3 linked regions of the Nothobranchius furzeri genome follow. The protein of the gene in region 1 purifies or fractionates together with the protein of each later gene. This does not show direct contact. Links are inferred from orthologs where the notes say so. Each region holds a gene or a part of one and is shown in the gene's direction. Other genes may lie near its edges. The genes, in order: tctn2, tmem231 and tectonic-3.

What was found.
Region 2: the proteins of tctn2 (region 1) and tmem231 purify together in Homo sapiens (affinity purification with mass spectrometry; 3 studies listed by BioGRID and IntAct, counting the BioPlex papers as one, with this or other methods). This does not show direct contact. The link is inferred for Nothobranchius furzeri from reciprocal best matches to the Homo sapiens genes TCTN2 and TMEM231.
Region 3: the proteins of tctn2 (region 1) and tectonic-3 purify together in Homo sapiens (affinity purification with mass spectrometry; 3 studies listed by BioGRID and IntAct, with this or other methods). This does not show direct contact. The link is inferred for Nothobranchius furzeri from reciprocal best matches to the Homo sapiens genes TCTN2 and TCTN3.

Annotation. Positions count from the first base shown.
Region 1 is NC_091757.1:45,963,750-45,971,347, forward strand, and holds the start of tctn2 (tectonic-2), read left to right. Parts: upstream 1-3,361; 5' UTR 3,362-3,429; coding exon 3,430-3,529; intron 3,530-3,716; coding exon 3,717-3,830; intron 3,831-3,977; coding exon 3,978-4,048; intron 4,049-4,161; coding exon 4,162-4,363; intron 4,364-4,455; coding exon 4,456-4,556; intron 4,557-4,653; coding exon 4,654-4,853; intron 4,854-4,943; coding exon 4,944-5,058; intron 5,059-5,150; coding exon 5,151-5,304; intron 5,305-5,380; coding exon 5,381-5,464; intron 5,465-5,552; coding exon 5,553-5,675; intron 5,676-5,758; coding exon 5,759-5,833; intron 5,834-5,935; coding exon 5,936-6,025; intron 6,026-6,140; coding exon 6,141-6,258; intron 6,259-6,357; coding exon 6,358-6,461; intron 6,462-6,569; coding exon 6,570-6,717; intron 6,718-6,823; coding exon 6,824-6,967; intron 6,968-7,051; coding exon 7,052-7,140; intron 7,141-7,320; coding exon 7,321-7,442; 3' UTR 7,443-7,598. Other genes in the region: si:ch211-225b11.4 (tRNA (32-2'-O)-methyltransferase regulator THADA), read right to left, coding at 1-578, 659-856, 980-1,116, 1,191-1,275, 1,349-1,491, 1,617-1,737, 1,829-1,951, 2,027-2,175 and 4 more.
Region 2 is NC_091744.1:86,198,990-86,206,479, forward strand, and holds the start of tmem231 (transmembrane protein 231), read left to right. Parts: upstream 1-3,138; 5' UTR 3,139-3,371; coding exon 3,372-3,510; intron 3,511-5,284; coding exon 5,285-5,451; intron 5,452-5,833; coding exon 5,834-5,962; intron 5,963-7,116; coding exon 7,117-7,260; intron 7,261-7,490. Other genes in the region: gabarapl2 (gamma-aminobutyric acid receptor-associated protein-like 2), read right to left, coding at 1,654-1,709, 2,581-2,614. UniProt on the Homo sapiens protein: Transmembrane component of the tectonic-like complex, a complex localized at the transition zone of primary cilia and acting as a barrier that prevents diffusion of transmembrane proteins between the cilia and plasma membranes.
Region 3 is NC_091756.1:34,785,302-34,792,900, reverse strand, and holds the start of tectonic-3, read left to right. Parts: upstream 1-3,290; 5' UTR 3,291-3,417; coding exon 3,418-3,817; intron 3,818-4,442; coding exon 4,443-4,557; intron 4,558-4,634; coding exon 4,635-4,735; intron 4,736-4,817; coding exon 4,818-4,930; intron 4,931-5,015; coding exon 5,016-5,124; intron 5,125-7,599.

The DNA of each region.
Region 1 (7,598 bases):
GAGGACTCACAGTTTAGGTTCTGAGGAATGAACCCCCTCAGTATCACCAGCTCCTCTTTGCTTGGAGCGTCTTTGGTCTTTGAGCTGCAGCAGAGCAGACTGAGAGCGGCAAGGCGTATTTTATCGTCTGCGGACCTCAGAGCGACCTGCAGGGTTTCCATGGTGGAACCGCCCTGAAGAGACCACGGAGAAGAGCCGGTGACAGCTCGGTAGCAGCTCAGGATGCAGGTCCAAGCGCGGAGGTGGCGGTGTGTTTGAGGGTCCAGCGAGGCCAGCAGGAGGTCCACTGCAGAGGGGAAAACCTGGAAGGTGGCGGGCAGTAGGTGTGATGAGCTGCTGCTCTGTAGGAGAGTCACATCTGACCTCAGAGCCTCAAGAACAAAAGGCTGCCAACGCTTCGCCCAGCGCTTAGCCAGATCCACCTCAGTGGGACAGGAGGAGTTCTGTGATCCTCCACAAAGTTCTCTCCTCTGCTGCTGGATCAGACATTTATACAGCTCTGATCCACACGGGGACAGGTGATTGGTTGACAAACACTTCAGAAGGTGATCAAACAACTCGGGGTATTGGTCCAGCACCTGATGGTGACATGAACTAGAATTAAGGTCACGAATTATAATCAAAACATGAATGAGGACTTAGTAACTCAAAACCTCACCGTGTCAGTGCCCAGGTACGGCAGCAGGGCACCGAGGCGGTGATACAGAGCTCTGGTCTCCCAAGGCAGCTTCATGGTTCGCTGAAGCAGGGTGAAGAAAAAAGTCGTGTTTGCATCAGAAAACTTCTCACAGTCCTGGTTAAAGAGGCTCAGCAACTGGAGGAAAGCACTGTTGACAAATTCAGGCACTCCGTCTATCTGCCGAGGCACAGAGACAAAGGTGATCATCAGTCAGTGATGCGATTGTTTCTATGATTAATGATTTAATTCTGCATCCTCGACACGAGACAGCATCTGCGTTAGTTATTTCCAAAGGCTCACGGGGCTTTCTGCATTGGTCCAGATGATGTGCTGGAGCTGCTGCAGCAGGAGACTGTTCTCGGGTAAAAGACGAACACCCGTCATCCTCCAGAGATCATCGACACTTTCTTTCACCCTCTTCAGCCACAGAGTTAAAGCTGCAACAGCAGGTCATGGATGAACGGGCGATTCTCACTGAATCGGTCAGCTGACTGAATGGAACGTCGCTCACCTTCAAAGGCAAAGCAGTGGCAATCCAGCTTCTCTTCGCACAGCGAGTAGACGAGGGGAAACAAACCGTCCAGCAGCAAGCACGTCTAGTGGAAACAGATCGATTTGATAATAAAACCTAGAGTAAGTCAGAGAGGTTTCCTACATCTGTGAATGCACCTGTGAGTCATCCTGGGAGCCGCGTAGGATGTGAGGTCGGCAGCAGGTCAGGAGGCCCCTGCACACAGCCAGCCGGTCCACTCCATCCTGAGCAGAGGGGTCACACCGGACCTTCAGAGCGCCAACCATCAGCTGCCAGGGCTCTGAGGAGAAACGCACAGTCAGCAAACACAATCTGATGCAGCAAATATTAAATCAATCGCATGATTTACGAGTTTTAACAGTCACTACTTGATCTGCTGTGTTTGTTGCACCAGCTGTGACTTACTTTGGTGAGAGACCTGCAACAGACCCCAGGCAGCTTCTCCTCCAGCTCTGCTCTCGGATGCCGTGTTAATCAGCATCGCCACAGCAGTCCCAGCTAAAAGACGGGCATCCCTGTTGGAGCACTGCAAGACAAAACGTACACCAAGCAGCTGTAACAACACAGGTTGTCATCCAAATGAACGACTCCAAAGTCAGAGTAAAAAAAAGAAGAACCTGTCCAAGTATAATGTCCATGAGAGCCTGCAGGATCATCTGCACCGCCGGGTCTCTGCTGTCCTGCTCCCAAACATGAGGAGCAAGTTCCCTGGACAGCAGCTGGAATATCTGCAGACACACCTGCAGCAGGTGCAGTTCACAGGTTAGTAACAACCGTTACACAAATCATTCATGATGCATGATTTAAACATTTACCTTCACAGCGACGTAACACAGCGGTCCATCTCTCAGGGACTTGTCCTGCAGGACAACAGGAAGCAGCTCAGACACTTTGATCAGCATGGACTTGTATGAATCTCGCCACACTTCACGACCAACAGAGCTGTCTTCCAGGAACATGCATGCTGGAAGGGGTAAAAAAAAATAAAATTACATTTCAGTGACTTCAAAGTAAAATACCTCAATTTTAACCAACCTCTCTGCAAATCTTCTAAAGACAAAACCTAAAAAATGCACATGATCAAAGTTATTCCACAAATCTAAACACAAATAAATTAATAACAAACAACAATGATTTTAGATACCTCTACCTGATTTCTGTAGACTATTGAGTGAAAACTGTGAAGGGTTTCTCTGTAAACCAGCTGGTGGTCCACCTTTGTCAGATGCAGCAACATCTGTCAGACAGATATGAACATTTTTATCAATCAGATTTAGTAGAAACTGTTGCACCATGAAGAGGGACCGTGTTGCTGACCTGGTCCACTTTGCGACAGGCCGTGGAGATGCTGGCCATCTCCAGCTGCAGGGATATGAGGAGTCTGGCAAGGAGCAGCAGATGTTTCTCCTCCAAACTACGAAGCTGAGCTACAGATGTTTGTCTCAGCAGCTGGACAGCCTCCTCTAAACAGCGCTCCTTACATCTTTTTACCTTACTCCTGTACGTACAAGAATCACAATCAGGTTTATTAGCATTAGACAAAAGCAAGTGATTATTTACGAGTTTGTAAAATTAAGCAAACAAGCAGAGATGTGGAACTAACCTGGAAGATTCAGAGAGTTTTTCAAAAAACGAATTAAGTGTTTTACTTCCGGGATCGGGAGCGGAATCCTGGATGATCAAACTGTTTTTCAGACTTGTCAACAGGTTTTCAAACATCGTTGTATTAATTAATCCTTAGTGAAGATCGTTGTTGACACATTCTCAAGAGCACGTTGGTTAGCTGGTCACGTGACCTAATTTTACTTCTACTGAAGTTGTGTCGTGTTGTGAAAGTGACGTGCTGCCCCCTACTGGCTGAAAAGGAAATCATCCACATCTTTAACAACATGGTTAGTAAATAAATGTTCATTCAAGAGTTCGCAAACGTTCAGCACTTACGATTTATGAAGCTAATGTCTGTCCTGAAGCTGCTTTTTTGTCCCCATACTCCCCCTGCTGCGTCTGTTTTCCTGGCGAGGCGCTGCCAAACTCGAAAACAAAAACCCACGAAGCGCCTGTTTGCTGCGTAACGTTTCACACTTCCACATATGACCAGGTGGGGGCGGTGTTGCTAACACAACCTTTACCTCATCCAAGCAAGAACGCTTGTCTGTGATTGGTTAAGATCCGCGTTGCTAAGACATCACAAATAGTTTACTAATATGTCGACTCTATAATGGCTAATGTGGCTAACGCTATCCTTTCTGTGAACATTTCACGTCATGCTCTATCCATCGTGCTACTTATTTACTTGGCTAACTCCCAAGACATTGTTGGTAAGACGCGTTTAATAATTATCTACTAGTAACCCACGAATCTTACTTGAACTAGCTAGCATTTCTTGATGCTAGCAATGGAGCTAACAGTTTCGCGTTATTTTTTTGAAATAACTGTTAATGCATTCCTTTTGATATTTTTGAGAACAAACGCTAACATAAAATAGTTTTGTTTTTCTTTCATTAGTTTTCCAGCCGACATTTCTCGTTGCTTCTGGACCAACCGTCACATCGTATCTGCTGGGGAACACCTCAGGAGTCTCCCTGACGCTGAGGAAGGTTTCTCTGTCCAACACGACAGGTGGAGAGATTAATCAAAACTAAACACATACCTTCTCTGTACTGATCCTCAGCCTTTGTGCTGAATCAAAAAGTCTAGGCTGATTGGTGTTTATGTTTCAAATTTGATCAGATTTGGTGGGGAGTAAATATTTTTTGTCCTCCACAGGGAGTATTGGTTCTCCATCATGTGTAGAAGAGGCAACACGATGGACGCTGGCAACAGAGCAGATTGGAAAGGTAAGAAACTGATCTGAGTCTGATCAAAATGATCAGATAACGCTTCAATCAAGTGCAAGAGCAAATGACATAATCCACTAAGTCTATGCTTTTTGTTTTGCTTTGCACCACAGACTGCATTACGACTAACTTTGAGATTCAATCAAAGTCTACGTTTGTGTACGGAGAATGATACAACTGGTGACTGTTGTTCAAAGCCACTGTGTGTCCTGGAAACCCTTCAGGTGTCTGCCTGTGTTGGCAGCACACCCCAGGCATCACTGCTGATCCAGGCCTCCTTATATGCCCAGTTGTTCCCTACTAATGCTGGATCTGGTAACTCAAATCAAATTGGTTTCACGATATTGCAACGTGATGACTTCTGAGAGTGGGCTATGTCTTTTATTTATGGGTCATGTTTATTTCAGATAACCAGACAGTCATTCCAAACCAAGTGTACCAACCTCTAGGTGTTTGTCCCTGTGATCTGACACACAGAGTGTGTGATGTACGCTGCTGTTGTGACGAGGTAATGCTATCTGTGTTCTTGTAGTTTAAAAACAGATTTTGGCTGAATGTACTTTATGTTTTATTAATCTAAACACAATATGCTTCATCATTACCAGGACTGTTCCAGTGCAGATTTGAAGCTGGTTGCATCTCATTGTCTGCCTGGACCGTTTGGTGGGCAGGTCTCTCCTGCTCCAGAATATCAGTGCTCAGTTCAGTCCTCTGAAAACACCCCAGACTGGTTTCCCTTTTTATGTGTCCATTCTCCACCTGAAAACAGCCCATACCTCGGCCTCTTTTACCAAGGAAACACAGTGTAAGAAAGGACGTGTGTCTTTGATTATACCTGTTATTATTTTCATGTCTTGTTTTCATCATGTATTTTTTTGTCCTTTAAACTTTTTAGCTCATCTATCCCTGGCCCATCCTTCCAAAGGCCCATGTTAAAAGCTCCGGTGCCAGTTTATGTTCAAGGAAGTCCGATTGTCACTCTAAATGGCCAATTCTTCACAATCCCTCAGGTGGGTAAAAATGTTTTTATTACATTGTTTAAATTCAGATACTAACAGCTCAATTTAACAGCTGAGCTCTTGTGCATGTTTTTGTTCCACAGATGCTCTTTGGTCAGTGTCTGAAAATGGCTCCCGTGGCTTTTCTAAAGGATTTCAGTGTTGAGTGTGTATCTCTTCTCCTCTCCTGTCCCACTGGAGCTCCCTTACAAACACAGCTGACAGATCTGAGCACAGAAGTTAAAAATGGCAACGGGGGTGTGTTTCACCTGCTATGGAGGATAGCTGTTGGGAAATGTTTGGATCCAAGTGACATACTATTGTTTTTCCCCAGGAGTTGTGGTGGTGAACGTAACTGATGTCGTGATCCCTGACGTGAGTGTGTTCGTTTCTGAAAGCAGTGTCGTTAACGCCATATGTATGTATGTCTTCAGCACAGATTATTGGCACTGAAACAACCCTTGACAGTTACATTTATGATAAAATATTCTCACATTTATCCAAAGCTGAGAGGCTGGAATGCCCAAATGTGACCGTAGCCCTGGATTACAAATTCTTCTGGACAGGAAATGGCATCACGGGTATCACACTGACACGCACGGTTGGGACTATCACCTCCAATCAGAGCGGTGACTTGTAACTTTGAACACTTCCTGTTATAGTTAGCAAACCTGTGCCACATGGTGTTGACTGACTTCTGTCTTCTAAACAGTGATGCTAACTGCAAGATATTCTGCTGCGTTTCTGAACAGAGAATTCAGGCCTGAGTCCAACTCTGGAAACCCAGGTAGGAGGAAGGAAATAATAATTTTATAAGCCTCAAACAAGTTTATTGAGAATATGAAAGAATCCTATCCCATGTGATCATTCTAACTCATCTAAACAACAGGTTATCAAGTGGGAAAACCTGTTATTGCTGGTGTTGTGGAAAACGGTACAGAAGTAATACAGAGGAGAATAATGAATATTTGGAAATCAGGTAAAATCAGTTGTCATTTAGTTTATTTGTAGATAAAATCTATTTTGATACTCAGACACTTTTCAGTCCTTTCTAAATTAACAACTAACATGTTTTCTCCTGATTTGGCCTTTAGTGCATGATGGACTGTGTTCTACTGCTCAGAAAAAAATGGTTATTTTTGGTGAAAATTCAACTTCCGGTTGCCTGCTTCCTGTCAGCCGACATGATCTGACTCAGTGTAATCTCCTCAGGTCAGTGACTTGCTAGGATTCATCTTCAGTATGTACTGTGAAAGCTGCACTGTCTGTTTTTGTATTTGAGCATCAGATGTAATGTTTTTTGTGCTTTAGAGAGAAGGTCACTAATCTACAGGAAACGCTGATAGCTGCCACTTATGTGGCAAAACGTGGAAACCCAGATTTTACCAGTTTGATGGACTGGGTGAACATAAGCTGTAAGTTGACGGTGCGAAGAAGCATTGATTTTATTTCTTGCTAATATTTGTGACACATTTCCTACTCCGTCTGAAACTAAACGATGTTTTTCACATCATTTAATCTAGACGCGACTCTGAATTCAAGTGCAGCTATGGGGAAAGTCACAAGTGCATGTGATGGTGTTCCATCCCACCAACACATCCAGGTCTGGACTCTTATCACCGGCCAGATAGGTGGCATACCTCAAAGGGAAATCCATGCACTGGAAGTCAAGTGTGTATCACATCATTTCGCAACACAAATTTCACAGTGCAAGTCCAATTAGGACCACAAAGTGGTTTTGAGTTGAGGTATTGTTTCCATTTCTGGTCATTTTCAGTTATAGCCGGACCACTTGGACACTGGAATGTGGAGGAGGTGACATTTCTTCCTGCCAGGACCCAGACACACCTCAGTTGTTCTCCATCACATCTTCAGTTACATTTATTGACATCCCAGTTAACACAGGTCCACCCAAAAGCAGGTGCTGGAACGTTTGGACCACTCTTAGGAAGAACTGTGAAGCCTGAGCTACTAACATAGAGTGTGATTTTATTTTTCTCTGCAGATTTCAGATCAACTTCACAGAATATGACTGTAACAGGAATGATGTGTGTTGGCCCGAGCTTGCTTTTCCCTTCACTAGATATTTCACAGGTAAGAACGTATCCGTGGCATTTAAAATGTTAAGTTGGATGATGTGAATCAATTATTTATGAATCTGGGTGATTAAAAAAAATGATTTATTTTTAGCATTTGTGTTAAATAAATCATTCCCAGAGTGAATTAAGAATAGTAATGATATAATAATGCTTATTTGACCTTTTCTTCCTACAGGTGAGCCTTATTCTCAGTCGCTGGCTAAAGGCATGGTCTTGGTAGGAATGTTTATTGCAGCCTCGATCCTTGGGACTCCATGGAGACAGATCAGACAGGCATGGCACAATGCTGCTCTCTAAAATAATTTAAAAATGGTTGGAAAAGATGTAAAGGATGACATTCAGGCCGATAAAGGGAAAGTAAGATTCAAAAGGATGACTATCAGTGTGAAATGCTATTTTTCTATTAGAGGTGGTAAATTATTTTATAGTTTTGAAGTGGTTTGTAAAGGGTTG
Region 2 (7,490 bases), on another chromosome or scaffold:
CCATCTTTAAGAAGGGTGACCTGAGGGTGTGTTCCAACTATAGGGGGATCACACTCCTCAGCCTCCCTGGAAAGGTCTACTCCAAGGTACTGGAGAGGAGGGTCCGATCGATAGTTGAATCAGATTGAGGAGGAGCAGTGTGGTTTTCGTCCTGGCCGTGGAACTGTGGACCAGCTCTATACCCTTGCAAGGGTGATGGAGGGGGCATGGGAGTTTGCCCAACCAATCCACATGGGTTTTGTGGATTTGGAGAAGGCTTATGACCATGTCCCCAGGGGCACCCTGTGGGGGACGCTCCAGGAGTATGGGGTGGGTGGCTTTCTGTTAAGGGCCATTCAGTCCCTTTACCAGAGGAGCGTGAGTTTGGTCCGCATAGCCGGTAGTAAGTCGGACCTGTTCCCAGTGAGGGTTGGGCTCCGCCAGGGCTGCCCTTTGTCACCGGTTCTGTTCAATACCTTTATGGACAGAATTTCTAGGCAAAGCCGTGGTATGGAGTGTGTTGAGTTTGGTGGCGGGAGAATCTCGTCTCTGCTTTTTGCGGATGATGTGGTCCTCCTAGCTTCATCCAGCTCTGACCTTCAGCTCTTGCTGGGTAGGTTCGCGGCCGAGTGTGAAGCGGCTGGGATGAGGATCAGCACCTCCAAATTTGAGACCATGGTTCTCGACCGGAAAAGGGTGGCTTGCCAACTCCGGGTCGGGGGAGAGGTCCTACCTCAAGTGGAGGAGTTTAAGTATCTCGGGGTCTTGTTCACGAGTGAGGGTAGGAGGGATCGGAAGATTGACAGGCGGATTGGTTCGGCGTCTGCAGTGATGCGGACGCTGAGCCGATCTGTCGTGGTGAAGAAGGAGCTGAGCCAGAAAGCCAGGCTCTCGATTTACCGGTCGATCTACGTCCCAATCCTCACCTATGGTCATGAGCTTTGGGTAATGACCGAAAGAACGAGATCGCGGATACAAGCGGCCGAAATGAGTTTCCTCCGTAGGGTGGCCGGGCTCAGCCTTAGAGATAGGGTGAGGAGCTCGGACATTCGGGAGGGACTCGGAGTAGAACCGCTGCTCCTCTGGATCGAAAGGAGCCAGTTGAGGTGGTTTGGGCATCTGGTCAGGATGCCTCCTGGACGCCTCCCCAGGGAGGTGTTTCGGGCATGTCCTGCTGGCAGGAGGCCCCCGGGTCGACCCAGGACACGTTGGAGAGGTTACATCTCCAATCTGGTCAGGGAATGCCTTGGGGTCCTGCCGGAGGAGCTGGTGGAGATGGCCAGGGAGAGGACGGTCTGGAGCTCCCTAGTTGGGATGCTGCCCCCGCGACCCGGACCTGGATAAGCGGAGGAAGACGAGGACGACTAAAATGCACTTAAGTGCAAAACTATTGATGACACGTGTCTGCAGCACGATTAGACACACATTTATATAGTTTATCAGAAAGAAAAAAAGTTGATTTGGGGGGTGACTTGCTCTTTAAATCATGAGAATGAAATAGATTTGATTTGTTAAAAATCTGTTTGTTTATTTCTTTCCTCAGCTGGAGATCAGTTTAAAACAACAACAAAACTAAATCTCCTGACTTCAGCTCTGCGTCCCTGCAGGTTACATTCAGACAGCTTAATCTGTTGATTTACTGTCATGCCAGTGCACCCCACCCCCTGGACTCACCGGTACTCTGTCAGGGTATTTGTTGCGTATTTTGGCTGACTCCACACATCGGTGCTCTGAGGGAGGGACAGAAAACAAACAGGAAGTAGAGATTAAAAGGATGAGTGAGGCCTCTTGGGATTCTTCCTCTGCCATCTTAAAGCCAAGCCTTGTTCAACACAGAGAGCTCCCTGTGCACAGCAGACACTTTTCACACAAGATGCAGCACGCATAAAATGGATTATCAACTCTAACAACAATTTGTGATCAAATTAAGGCACTAGCTGCCTTTCACAGTGATTGTAATCATGATTGATGCCATTGTGTGCATTGATTTTAGGCAGGACATGCAGCAATGCAGAAAATGAGGCCCGGGGAGGGGAGGAGAGGTGATAGTTGATAAGGTGCAGGCTTTCATTAACCCAGATAAGAGGCCTACTTTGGATGTGTTTCTTTAAAAAGGTTATCCGGTGAGAGTTTCCACACAAAAGCTGAGTTACATAACAGAAATGGCTCCAATGAGATGTGAGTTCAGTTACTGTTAATGCGTTTGAAACAATCCTGACTTACATGTTCAAATTGTATTTTCATTAGGTCTCTTAGCCAATTAAAAAAATATAAGAATTTATTCTTGCTGGATTTGTTCTGACATTAGGTGTTTAGGTCAAACATTATCAAAAGGTGTAAACACACAGTGTAAAGACAGGAATCAGAGCAGATTCAGCTGATTTTGCTTTTAGGGCAACGATAAAGCGACCAAAAAGGGAAAATGGTTTCATGCAGCGAAATCGAATTACAGCAGTCGTGCAAATGGCAAAAAATAAAAGCATGCATTACTGCGTCTATGAGCGGTGGCATTGCTAAACGATGCGGGGACAGTAAAACAGAATAAGGTGGGATGACACGACAAGAGCATCTCTTGTTTCATAACAATCCAAACCCTTTTACCGAGGGAATGGTCCTCTTTAAACATCCATTTCATCTTTGCTGGATCCCCGCACTGAGGCGTGACGCGTAGAAGCTTCTAAATCTGCGGGTAATGTCGGCGAATTGTCCAAATATCCAGACAAACGCAATCAAAACAACGTCAAATTAGCCTTTCAGCTGTGCGTCTAGCGGAGAGGTGACGTCAACGTCTGACAGAGTGCTGCCTTCACGGGCTCTCCGGGAGAGTCGGTCTATCCGTGACTGAGTCCTCACACACATAAAACATAATGGTAAAGGCGCTTGTTTGTATTTCTGTTATTTTCTAAAGAACAGAATAACACATACAGTCAGAATGAGTAACATCATAAGAAAAATACCTAATAAATGATTTCCATAATCTCTAAAAAATGCCCCCAAGACAGTCTGTGTAAATAGTTTCTCTACACTATGTTCATCAAAATTAAAAAGAGTAGCAGACGCCTCATAAAATAGCAACATTTCCACATCTGGAAAAAAGGTTCCCGTACTCTCAAACGTTGCGTGAACGCAGTCTGGTCGTTGGCTGCCATGGTAACCGCCAGACGCCTAGCTAACATGGCGTGGGATCCCGCACCGATAATCACAGAGGCTAACAAAAATAGCATGTTAAACGCCAAATTTCGTGATGAATATGTCTTTATGGGGCTGCTTGACTCCACATTCAACTAGATGGACATTGCTTTATATGAGTTAAATATGTTTGTGAGCTTTTTCTCTTATTAGACCCGAGTTAGCATCCGCGTTAGCGGTTAGCGTTTAGCTAGCGGGTACTCATGGCTTTTTATGAAGTCTACTCTCACCCGGCCGTGGTTCGGTACAAAACCAGTGTTTGTACAACAGCTACCTTATTTCTGGTTGTTGTTTTATGCCTTACGTACATCCCACCGCTGCTGGTTGCATACAGGAGTCAAGGTACAGTAACGGTCACCAGAAAGCTTTTATTAACTGTTCATCGTGTCTCCTCAAATGTCCTACGATGTGTAAATCCTCAGTTACAGAGACAAGAAGTAATAACAAATGCTTAGGTTCACCAAAACCTCGGGTTTATGGAGGGAACAAGTCTTGTAAAGTTTATTGAAGGAAGGTTTACTGAATGTTTTTTATTATCTTATTATAATTTTGCCCTTTTTGTATTTGTTACCATCACAAAGATATTTAATCTGACCATCAAGTGACTGCAGAAAAACCAATCCCAGATTAAATTCACATAATGATAGAATAAAATAACAGGGATATTTACAGACCAACTTTTCATGCTTTTATACTGTGATGTGACTGAAAAAAAATACAAATAAAATATGCATTTATTGTGATTGATGAGTGAAAGTTTCGTAATTAACTTGGAGAATATTGCAGAAACCTGCAATAAAAAGCCTCAGTTTTGTGTTTGAAATTATTTCTTTTAAATAATGATAAACGAACCTCACGTGTACAGCACCTTTCAGAGTCGGAGGACTCCAAAGCTCTTTACACTACAGTGTTTCATTCATCCATTCACACACATTCACACGCTGATGAGCTACATTGTATCCACAGCTGCACTTGGCCTTCCGATTACTGGACAACCCGCTGTGCCTCTTGAGCTGCTGGTCCAATATTAGAGAGGCATCCATTCTGGTTTTTGAGATTGATACAGGTTTTCAGTTCTTGTACAGATCTGACCAGCAGGTGCTGAATATCTTATACTTTAGACAACCCCAACTTTTGCTAAATCATATGGAGAAACTCTGAAAAGCAGTTATGTTCAGCAACAAAGGCTGCAGAACTTTAGTTGATCATCTTTGAGCCAGAAACCTGCTTGTGCAGCTAAGTCTCATTCTCATTTTACACATACCTCTCAGTAGGTAATTTGCAGTTTTTTTTTTACCCTGAAGGTATTTAATTCTCCAAGTAGCTTTCTACAGATTCCCACTCTTAACCCTGTTGCAAAACAAAACTAATAAATCTGGAAAACTCATCTAATATTTACCAATCAGCATCCATTTTGGCTCATGTGATATTTAGACACTGCCAATAAACTAGTTCACTTATTGAAAACATACACAAATTTCTCTTAAAATTAAGAATTTTTTGCATTAAGATTTGAAAATGTGCTCCATAACTTGTGATTTTAGCACGACCAATAAAGCAACATGGCAACGTCAAGTTCTTGTCAATGTCTGGAAATCTCACTTGTGTTAATCCACCAGATTTTACAGGAAACGTTCCTGTTCACAAACTTAATATGGAAACAAAAACACATGGTTTACTCCGCAGATCACCTTAGCTTGTGAGATTTATAATCTCGACAACAACTCGAGAGCTTCTTTACAAAACCTTCAGTTGCTGAGATGATAAAGTTTTATAGCAGCAATAAAAATAAAAGAGTAACTTACCTGATAACAGTGCTTTCACACATTGTTTTACAGCATCTAGTCTAAATGACAGCTTTGTTTCTTTTTTTAACACACCACTGACTGTTTCCAATTGTCATTTACCTAAAAAAAACAACGTTTAAAATATTTGACCATGTTGAAAATGATTATTTTGGATGTCAAAGACATTTTCATGGAAGAGCTGTTATTGCCCGTGTGAATTAGCTTAGTGGACGTTCACGAGAAGATGAGGTGGAGAAAGGAGTTGAGTGGAACTGTATCTGACGCTCTGAGCAGATAGAGTTCACTGCTTTAGTTTCTTCTCATTTCAGGTTTCTGGATAAAACGAAGCATTTACGAAGAACAGCCGGTTGTGAGGTTCCAGTACGAGACTTTGCTGTTAGCAGCAACCAGTGCTCAAGGACATTATGTTGCCTGGAGCACTTTCCCTTTCCTTAACAACATGCTTGGGACCAACCTACGTATCCCCACTATCTCTGTAAGAAAACTCAACGTTCCTCTCCCTTAAGTTATTTCTGAATCACTGGTAAAATCTCTGCAGCTTTGATTTCATATTTTACACCTAAAAGGCTGAGACTGACTGCCAACCAGAGCAGGATGAATACTGTTGAAGTAAAAAACATGCTGGTGCTCAGCCAGCCAGCAGTGAGTCAGAACACAGAAAATTCACATAAAAGACTTAATAGGTGCTTAATATTTGTGAAAGTGAAAACATAAAGAAACCAGAAAAAGCTAAAACACATTTTTACTCTAAAGGAGGATCATTCATTTCCACGAGTCTCTTGTGCCTCTGCAAGATTGTCTTTTGTAATTATGTATTTTTGTTTTGTAAATGAAAATTGTGTTTTGTTTTCATAAAGGTGAGAGAGGAGGACCTGAACCAGGATGGGAAACTGGACCGTTTGAACCTGCAACTGCAGCTTCCGCTGAAACCTGATGAACAAGTTTACAGCATTCAGCTGCTGCTCACCTTCAGCTACCAGCTCTTTGTATGTATCCCACTCCAGTAGCCGTCTCACAAAGAGCTCTTTCCATGCAGAGGAAGAGGATTTTTATTTGTGTCCAACGTGCTTTGAAGAAATATTTCAGCCACTTCGTCTTTGCATTAAAGGGACATTATGGAAGTGTGACAGCCAAAACATGTATAGAAATAATAAATGTCTTCTTCATACATTCTCCTGCAATGCCCTGGTCCTGTAGAATGAGCCCTGGCATTTTTACTGTGATTGCCTGTTTTTATGTAAAATCACAGAAAAAGAGAGATGCTCGGGTCGAGCAGGCTGCTTCATGCGCGTTCACGCTCAGGCATCGCCCGTAGCGTTTGCTATCCGTAGCTTTAGCAGCAGAGAGAGAGGCAGTGCCACTTTGTCGCTGTTCCTAACGCCTAGTGACAAAGCTAGCTACATTTCTGAGGACCCTTAGCTACTTTCTGTAGAACTTTCTTCTAGATATTTCCTGCTAATTAGCAACAAAATAGCCATTTTCACTCCGAACCGTTCTTTGAACGTTGTTTCAGCTGTCATCAAGGATATAAATGTTAGACAGTCTGAATGTTACTAGAGTGTAGCTCACCTTGTAAGATATCTGACTCTCGTGCAGAAGACCTGGGTTTGATTCTGGATGTGAACATAGTTTATTTAGAGTTTATTTTTTACATTAATGGTATATTTTTTACAGTAAGATGCCCAAATTTTTATTTGAGACTCGCTGAACGGCATTGAATTCACAGATAAAAAAGATGTGGGTTCAACTTTCATTTTGGAACAATTTTTCAAGCAAGGGAAGGGAATGATCTGAGCATGCAGGAGGACTGACCCGTCATAAACCTTTGTCGGCTGTGCTGAAGAGAAAGGTACAGAACCAAATTATTTAATTAATTATCTGTGTGTTCTTTTGTCCTCCGGGCCACACACACACACCTACACACACACACACGGGACTGTCTCAGCTGTTATTTTCGTTAAGGAGTGTGCACGTACAGCGTGCACGCCTCGTGTACGAGCCTACTACTGAAGCTGCTGTTATGCTTTTGGCCTGAGGGGGCAATCGCAGGCATTAAAATTCAAAAGTCCGAAAAGTCCCTTTAAATTATTGTTGTTTAATTTAATAGTCAGAGCATTTCTATTTCTCTGGTTTCTGCTAGCGGATGTCGACAGTGGTGATGCAGAGTCTGGCTTATGTGCAGCACTCCTCACCTGTACCTGGAGTTAAACTGTTCATCAGTGGAGACCTGAGGCTTCAGCAGAGGACACCGCTTCCTCATCGGGGCCTGTACAACATCTACAATGTGAGAATAGTGTTTATTCCTTATTTATATTAATTTATCCATCCATTGTCTATACCCGCTTGTCCATGCGGGGTCGTGGGGGGGCTGGTGCCTATCTCCAGCAGTCTCTGGGCAAGTAGGCGGGGTACACCCTGGACAGGTTTCCAGTCCATCACAGGACAAACAACCATGCACACACACCTGCGGGCAGTTTAGAAAACCAATCAGCGTGACAGTCGTGTTTTTAGACT
Region 3 (7,599 bases), on another chromosome or scaffold:
CCGGCAGAGCTTTGACCGCGTCCCGAGAGCAGTGGGGGACATTGACTCCGAGTGGGCCTTGTTCCACTCTGCAATTGTTGAGGCGGCTGTTTCTAGCTGTGGTCGCAAGGTGGTCGGTGCCAGTCGTGGTAGCAACCCCCATACCCGCTGGTGGACACCAGAGGTTTGGGGAGCCGTCAGGCTGAAGAAGGAGGCCTACAGGGCGTGGCTGGTCTGTGGGTCTCCGGAGGCAGCAGACAGGTACCGCATAGCCAAGCGGGGTGCAGCAGTGGCAGTTGCCGAGGCAAAATTTCGGCCGTGGGAGGAGTTTGATGAGGCCATGGAGAAAGACTATCGATCGGCTCCAAAGAGGTTCTGGCAAACTGTCCGGCGCCTCAGGAGAGGGAGGCAGCAACTCGCAGTTGGATGGTGGAAGGAATACTTTGAGGAGCTCCCCAATCCCACCTACGCGCATTCCGAGGAGGAGCCAGAGCCAGGAAACCTGGGGATGGACTGTCCAATCTCGGGGGCAGAAGTTGCTGAGGTAGTCAAACAACTACACAGCGGCGGAGCACCGGGGGCAGATGAGATTCGTCCTGGGTATCTCAAGGCTATGGATGTTGTTGGGCTGTCGTGGTTGACACGTCTCTGCAACATTGGGTGGTCATCGGGGGCAGTCCCTGTGGTGTGGCAGACCGGGGTGGTGGTCCCCATCTTTAAGAAGGGTGAGCTGAGGGTGTGTTCCAACTATAGGGGGATCACACTCCTCAGCCTCCCTGGAAAGGTCTACTCCAAGGTACTGGAGAGGAGGGTCCGATCGATAGTTGAATCTCAGATTGAGAAGGAGCAATGTGGTTTTCGTCCTGGCCGTGGAACTGTGGACCAGCTCTATACCCTTGCAAGGGTGATGGAGGGGGCATGGGAGTTTGCCCAACCAATCCACATGTGTTTTGTGGATTTGGAGAAGGCTTATGACCATGTCCCCAGGGGCACCCTGTGGGAGACACTCCAGGAGTATGGGGTGGGTGGCTTTCTGTTAAGGGCCATTCAGCCCCTTTACCAGAGGAGCGTGAGTTTGGTCCGCATAGCCGGTAGTAAGTCGGACCTGTTCCCGGTGAGGGTTGGACTCCACCAGGGCTGCCTTTTGTCACCGGTTCTGTTCATTACCTTTATGGACAGAATTTCTAGGCGCAGCCGTGGGGTGGAGTGTGTCGAGTTTGGTGGCAGGAGAATCTCGTCTCTGCTTTTTGCGGATGATGTGGTCCTCCTAGCTTCATCCAGCTCTGACCTTCAGCTCTTGCTGGGTAGGTTCGCGGCCGAGTGTGAAGCGGCTGGGATGAGGATCAGCACCTCCAAGTCTGAGACCATGGTTCTCGGCCGGAAAAAGGGTGGCTTGCCAACTCCGGGTCGGGAGAGAGGTCCTACCTCAGGTGGAGGAGTTTAAGTATCTTGGGGTCTTGTTCAGAAGTGAGGGTAGGAGGGATCGGGAGATCAACAGGCGGATTGGTTCGGCGTCTGCAGTGATGCGAACGCTGAGCCGATCAGTCGTGGTGAAGAGCGAGCTGAGCCAGAAAGCCAGGCTCTCGATTTACCAGTCGATCTACGTCCCAATCCTCACCTATGGTCATGAGCTTTGGGTAATGACCGAAAGAACAAGATCGCGGATGCAAGCGGCCGAAATGAGTTTCCTCCGTAGAGTGGCTGGGCTCAGCCTTAGAGATAGGGTGAGGAGCTTGGACATTCGGGAGGGACTCGGAGTAGAACTGCTGCTCCTCCGGATGGAGAGGAGTCAGTTGAGGTGGTTAGGGCATCTGGTCAGAATGCCTCCTGGACGCCTCCCTGGGGAGGTGTTTCGGCATGTCCTGCCGGCAGGAGCCCCCCGGGTAAACCCAGGACACGTTGGAGAGGTTAAATCTCCAATCTGGTCCGGGAACACCATGGGGTCCTACCGGAGGCGCTGGTGGAGAAGGCCGGGGAGAGGACGGTCTGGAGCTCCTTAGTTGGGATGCTGCCCCCGCGACCCGGACCCAGATAAGCGGAGGAAGACGATGATGACGACGACGTGATTAAATATTGTGAATCAAGTCAATGAAAAAAATTTATAAAATATTAAAGGTCATTATTTTTTATAAAGCAAGAATGGGGATTTGAATATATTTCAATAAATTTCGATAATGATGTATAAATTATGGAATCGGTATGCTATTCTAAAATTTTGCTTAAGTGGGTTTGGGGGTTGGGCTTATCAGCTTATGCTTCTGCCTGCACCCATTCTTTGAATTGTGTAAGTTGTGTGTTTGCTTGTAAACCTGTAAATGTTTTTTGTTGTACTATTTTGATTGTACTATTGATTTTAATTTCTCACTAAACTCATTTCTCATTCTCATTGAAAAACACAACTAAAACTACTATCAAAACAGTTTAGATGACTGAATGATGGAGTTAAAAAGACATTTTAAATATTAATGCATTAAGAATCAATAATACTTTAACCCTCTGGAGGCAGGCATTGCAGATTTGCAACAGTTGAAATCTACCTACCAGGTAGATACGTATTTAATGAGCATTTTTTAACTCAGAAGTACCCCTGAAGGACTTAACTTATTTTGAGCCTGCAAGGTTAACTTAATTTTAGAAGGGCATCTGGCTCTCACGGTGTCTGCAGGAAAAAAACTCCAGCCCTTGAACAAATTGAGGACACCTGCTCATTATTTTTTCATGTTATTTCTTTGTACTTGGATTTTATTGGCTATTATTCAGTTTGTTAGGATCCACACACACACACACACACACACACACACACACACACACACACACACACACACACACACACACACACACACACACACACACACACACACACACACACACACACTACTTACATAAACTTGTGACCTATTAGAATTAGACTCTTCCTGGGGCAATTTCATACAGTCTGTGTTTTTCTCTGCCTTTGCATGCCAGGGCAGGTAGTTCAGGTAATCTGGAAGGAAGAGGTGAAGCAGCGCTTGTGTAAACAATACAAGAGTACATCCTGTAACGGCATGTGACTGCTGCCGCTCGGGGAAACAGTAACACACAAGGACATAATGTGCAAACATTCCTCATTAAATCAAGTCCTTGAGTGTCCGGTCAGAACATGGGTCTGAACCATAAAACTATAGAATATGTGCTTTTTTTAAAATTCAAACCTGCTTTCAGAAGTTTTTATTATTTTCACAAATTTTCAGACCGACTCTGATTCACAAATATTCCTTATCTTTTACGTGTTTTACGGTAGATCTGTCGTTCCAACCGGAAGTCTTGTTGACAACTTCCTTAGTTACAAGGAGGTTGCTATGATTGAGCATTTAGCCAAACGCTACCTCTGGAAAGTCAGATATTTTGAGTATTTTTGAATGTGTGGATAGGTGTTCGTAGCACCGCCAAGTTGGAGAAATGACGCGTTTCTGGTGTTTGTTTTGGCTCCATGTTTACATCGCTTCCTATGGAGGAGTTGGGGCTCGCGCAGCTGCAGACCAGGGGACCGCTGGGGCTGTGGACACCCCTCCGACAATAGGGGGGCCCTTCAGCTCAGCCACATCGGCTCCGGGGGGTTCGGGAGTCACTGAGCAGGCAACCCGTCCGCCCGCTTTGGACTCCATGATAACTACTACACCGGACTCCATGGTAACCAATACACAGGACTCCCTGGTAACAGCTCCACGGGACTCCATGGTAACCAATACACAGGACTCCCTGGTAACAGCTCCACGGGACTCCATGGTAACTACTAATCCCTCCATAACTGAGGCTCCATCACCTACAACCACCGTCCAGACCGTGATATCTGGAGAAGGCAAGACCTTTAACCTTGTTTTAATGAACCTGCAAAGTTTCTAAAACCAATTTAGTCATCCGGACCTCACTCTTAAAACTTTTAACAATGCCATTATACACACTTGATCCAGAGGACAAATGAGTGTTATGTAATAAAATCATCTCAATGATCTCAGCATTTTCATCTGCGCTGCCTCCACGTCTGCCTCCTGTCTTCTCCTTGATGCTGCTGTCTCTAAACCACGCAGCATCTCTGGTCTCCTGCAGAAACTCTTATCACAGCTGACATTTTTCTCCAGCTTCAACATTCTCCACTTAGCACTGAGTCCTCTAACCTCACTCTTCAACTTGGGTCATTCTTGTTCACCCACATGTAACCCACATGTAATCTGGATAATCTCTCACTTGGTTTGATCAACTTTTAGATTGTTTTGCAAACGTTTTTAGGAGATGAATTAAATGCATTTCATTATGTCCATAAGAGAGTTTACCTCCTCTGCATCTTATAAAAATTGTCTGCTCGTAGATTTAAATCACAGAAGGGGGGGTTGATTTGGGTCTTGTATTATATGTTTGCGCGTTTTTATCATTTATATGAATTCTTTATCTGTTGTATGATTACAGTGTTCCCTCTTGTCTTTCAGGTTGTCTCTGCGATTTAACGCCTGATTTTTGTGACATTGGCTGCTGTTGTGACACAGCTGATTGTGATGCTGCCAACCTAACAGCCATCTTCACTGGATGTTCACCAGCAGTTATGTAGGCCGTCCTTATACTCTCCCCTCCTGTGTCACAGACAAAAGTATAATTTAAGGTGTAAAATAACTTTTCTTTAGCAGATCTGAAGTCTGCGTTGAGAAGTGGCTCATGTTCAGAGCCAACGTTGATTCATCTCTTGTCACCGTCACTGACACCATGTTTTGTGTGCGTTCCAAAGGTAAAAAGATGTTTTTTTAATGTTTTGTATAATTCATCAGACACTCATATCTGTTCTTATTTTTTTGTTTACCGCCCATCAGCTGCTGCTCCTCAGTCTCTCCCTTCCCTCCATGAGAGTCCAGCTTTAGGAGACTCGTACCACTTCTCACCATCAGGACACATGTTCATCAGGCACAGCAGGCACTTCTACAGGGTAAACAGGCGTATGGGCAGGATGTGTTCAAACAAAACAACCTGGTTTTTATATTTAATCACAGATATTTGACATTTTGTTTTAGGCCGATGATGTTATCCAGACGTTTTTCTCCAACTCCTCTGTCCGTGGTCTCCTTCGTCAACCTTCTGCTGGAGCAGCTTCTGCTTTCTGCTTCAACCGCAACCCTGCAAGTAAGTTCAGAAAGGCTATACCGAATGGTTCCTCTTTAAAAGGGAGTTTGTCTGGAGTTAACAGGATTTTATCATCTTTGTTTGAGTTAATAGATTGTAAAAACATCAAAAATAAGGGCAGGTTTATACTTTTTTCCCCTTTGGAACGTCTTTTAAACAGAAATCCCAACCTGGACCCAGCAGTGCTGTCTAACTTCAAACCCGTGTCTAAATGGCCGTTCTTGTTAAAAGTATCAGAAAGAATTGTCTTTATTCAGCTTTAGTTATTGAGGAATATTTTCAATCTGGGTTTAAATCTAGACAGCACTGAGCATGAGATTTTCTTGTCAAATTTAGGGGAACTAGTCGCTTCCATATCATGCTATTTTAAACCTTTGAGAGCAAAGGTAGGCACAATATGTGATCAAATATTTCCGTTAGCATTATTGAGATGTAATTTATCTTAAATACGGGTTATTTTCGTCAGCTTGAATTTACACCTGTTTCAGTGAAACTTTGCCCATGCCCACTCTGACAAAATGTGCCTAGAACAGCGTCTTAGGCGGATCGGTTGCTGTGTTGTTTATGGTGATCCAGTGGTTAAGGTGTCCAACCTGGCACTCTAACCACTGGACTACCAAGTCTGTCAAATGACACCAGTCGCATAAGCCATAATCCTGTGCTGACCTGGAGAGACAGGTTTCAGACTAGAGACTAGCTTCAGGAAGAGGAGCAGGGCCTGATGACGAGATTAGTTTCCATTAAGACTTTATGGCACTTTCAAAGTAAAAGGCAAAATTTGCAGCTGAGACAGGAAAATGCATGAATGAAGCCATCATTCATCCATTCACACACACACACACACACACACGGATAGTGATAATGAGCTATGATGTAGCCACAGCTGCCCTGGGGCGCACTGAGGCTTCCGAGCGCAGGCATCACCAGTCCCTCCGACCACCACCAGCAGGTAAGGTGGGTTATGTGTCTTCCCCAAGGAATTCTCTGTCTGGAGCCGGGATCGAACCTGCAACCTTCCGATTACTGGACAGCCCGCTCAACCTCTTGAGTTACCTTCTTACCCCTGAGAGCACTGAAAGGATTGTCATTGCAGCCTCTGTTTGACCATTTGAATGATTTTCTGGGTTGGATAGCACAGAATTCCCTACATCTCAGTGAAAGCCAGACTGAATGTGTGCTGTCTGGTGACCTTAATGTCCCGACCTCCTTAAATCAGAGCCTTGGTTCCACATTAAAAGTAATCAGTAAAAATCCAGGATTTGTGTTTGATAGCAACCAGAATTCAGACAGACAAACATGGTGGGGAAATCCAGTTTTTTCTATCTAAGATTACTGAACAGTCAAGCCAGTTTCTCCCATAGCGACCTTCAGATAGTGATTCATGCTCCAGTCTTGACCATTGTAATGCTCTGACTGAATTCTGGAGTTGGCAAGTCGTCTGTGTCACACCTTCAGGCAGTCCAGAACGCTGCTGCTGGCCTTCTGATGCACACGAGGAAGTTTGAACATACCTCTCTTCACTGGCCTCCTGTTGCATTTTGGGTTGATTTTAAATGACTAACTTTTTCTTTGTAAATCATTAAAAGGCCTGATACTGCCCTGTTTAAGCGTTCAGCAAGAGCCCTTGAGTCGTCTACTCATAACCAGAGGTCCCTAAATATAAACGCTTACTATTGGAGCTGCCTCCAGTGTGATAGTTTAACTTTGCCAAGGCTGCCTTTGTCACATGTTCATAACCTTTACGGACAGGATTTCTAGGTGCAGCCAAGGTGTTGAGGGGATCCGTTTTAGTGGCCTAATGATCAGGTCTCTGCGTTTTTGCAGATGATGTGGTCCTGTTGGCTTCATCAGAACGTGATCCCTGACTTTCGCTGGAGTTGATCGCAGCTGAGTGTGAAGCAGCTAGGACGAGAATCAGCGTCTCTAAATCTGTGACCATGGTCTTGAGCCAGTAAAGGGGTAGAAGGCCTTCTCCAGGTCAGGGATGAGGTCCTGTCTCAAATGAAGATAGAGCGCGAGATCGACAGGCGGATTGGTGCTGCGTCTGCAGTGATGTGAGCGTTGTACCGGTTTGTCTAAAGCCCCATTCCCACCTGTACCGGGTCGGCCCGGGCCGGGTAGCGTAGGTTGTTTACATATCTGGGTGGCCTGGTATTTTCCCGGGCCAACCAAGGCTCATTCTCGGCCCTCTTCCCGAGGGGTACTGCTTCAGGCCGACCAGGGCCGACACACCCACTGCTGACAGCAAATTCACACCTTCCATTAGAGCAAGCCTCTGATTGGTGGGTAGAATCAGCCCATTCACACCTTCCATTAGAGCAAGCCTCTGATTGGTGGGTAGAATCAGCCCACATGGGCTTAAGACAAGGATGTGTGGAATCAACCGGGCCAGGCTGGGGCCGACTGGGGCTACTCGGCCCGGGCCGACCCGGTACAGATGGGAATGGCCCAATAGTGAAGAGAGACCTGAGCCAC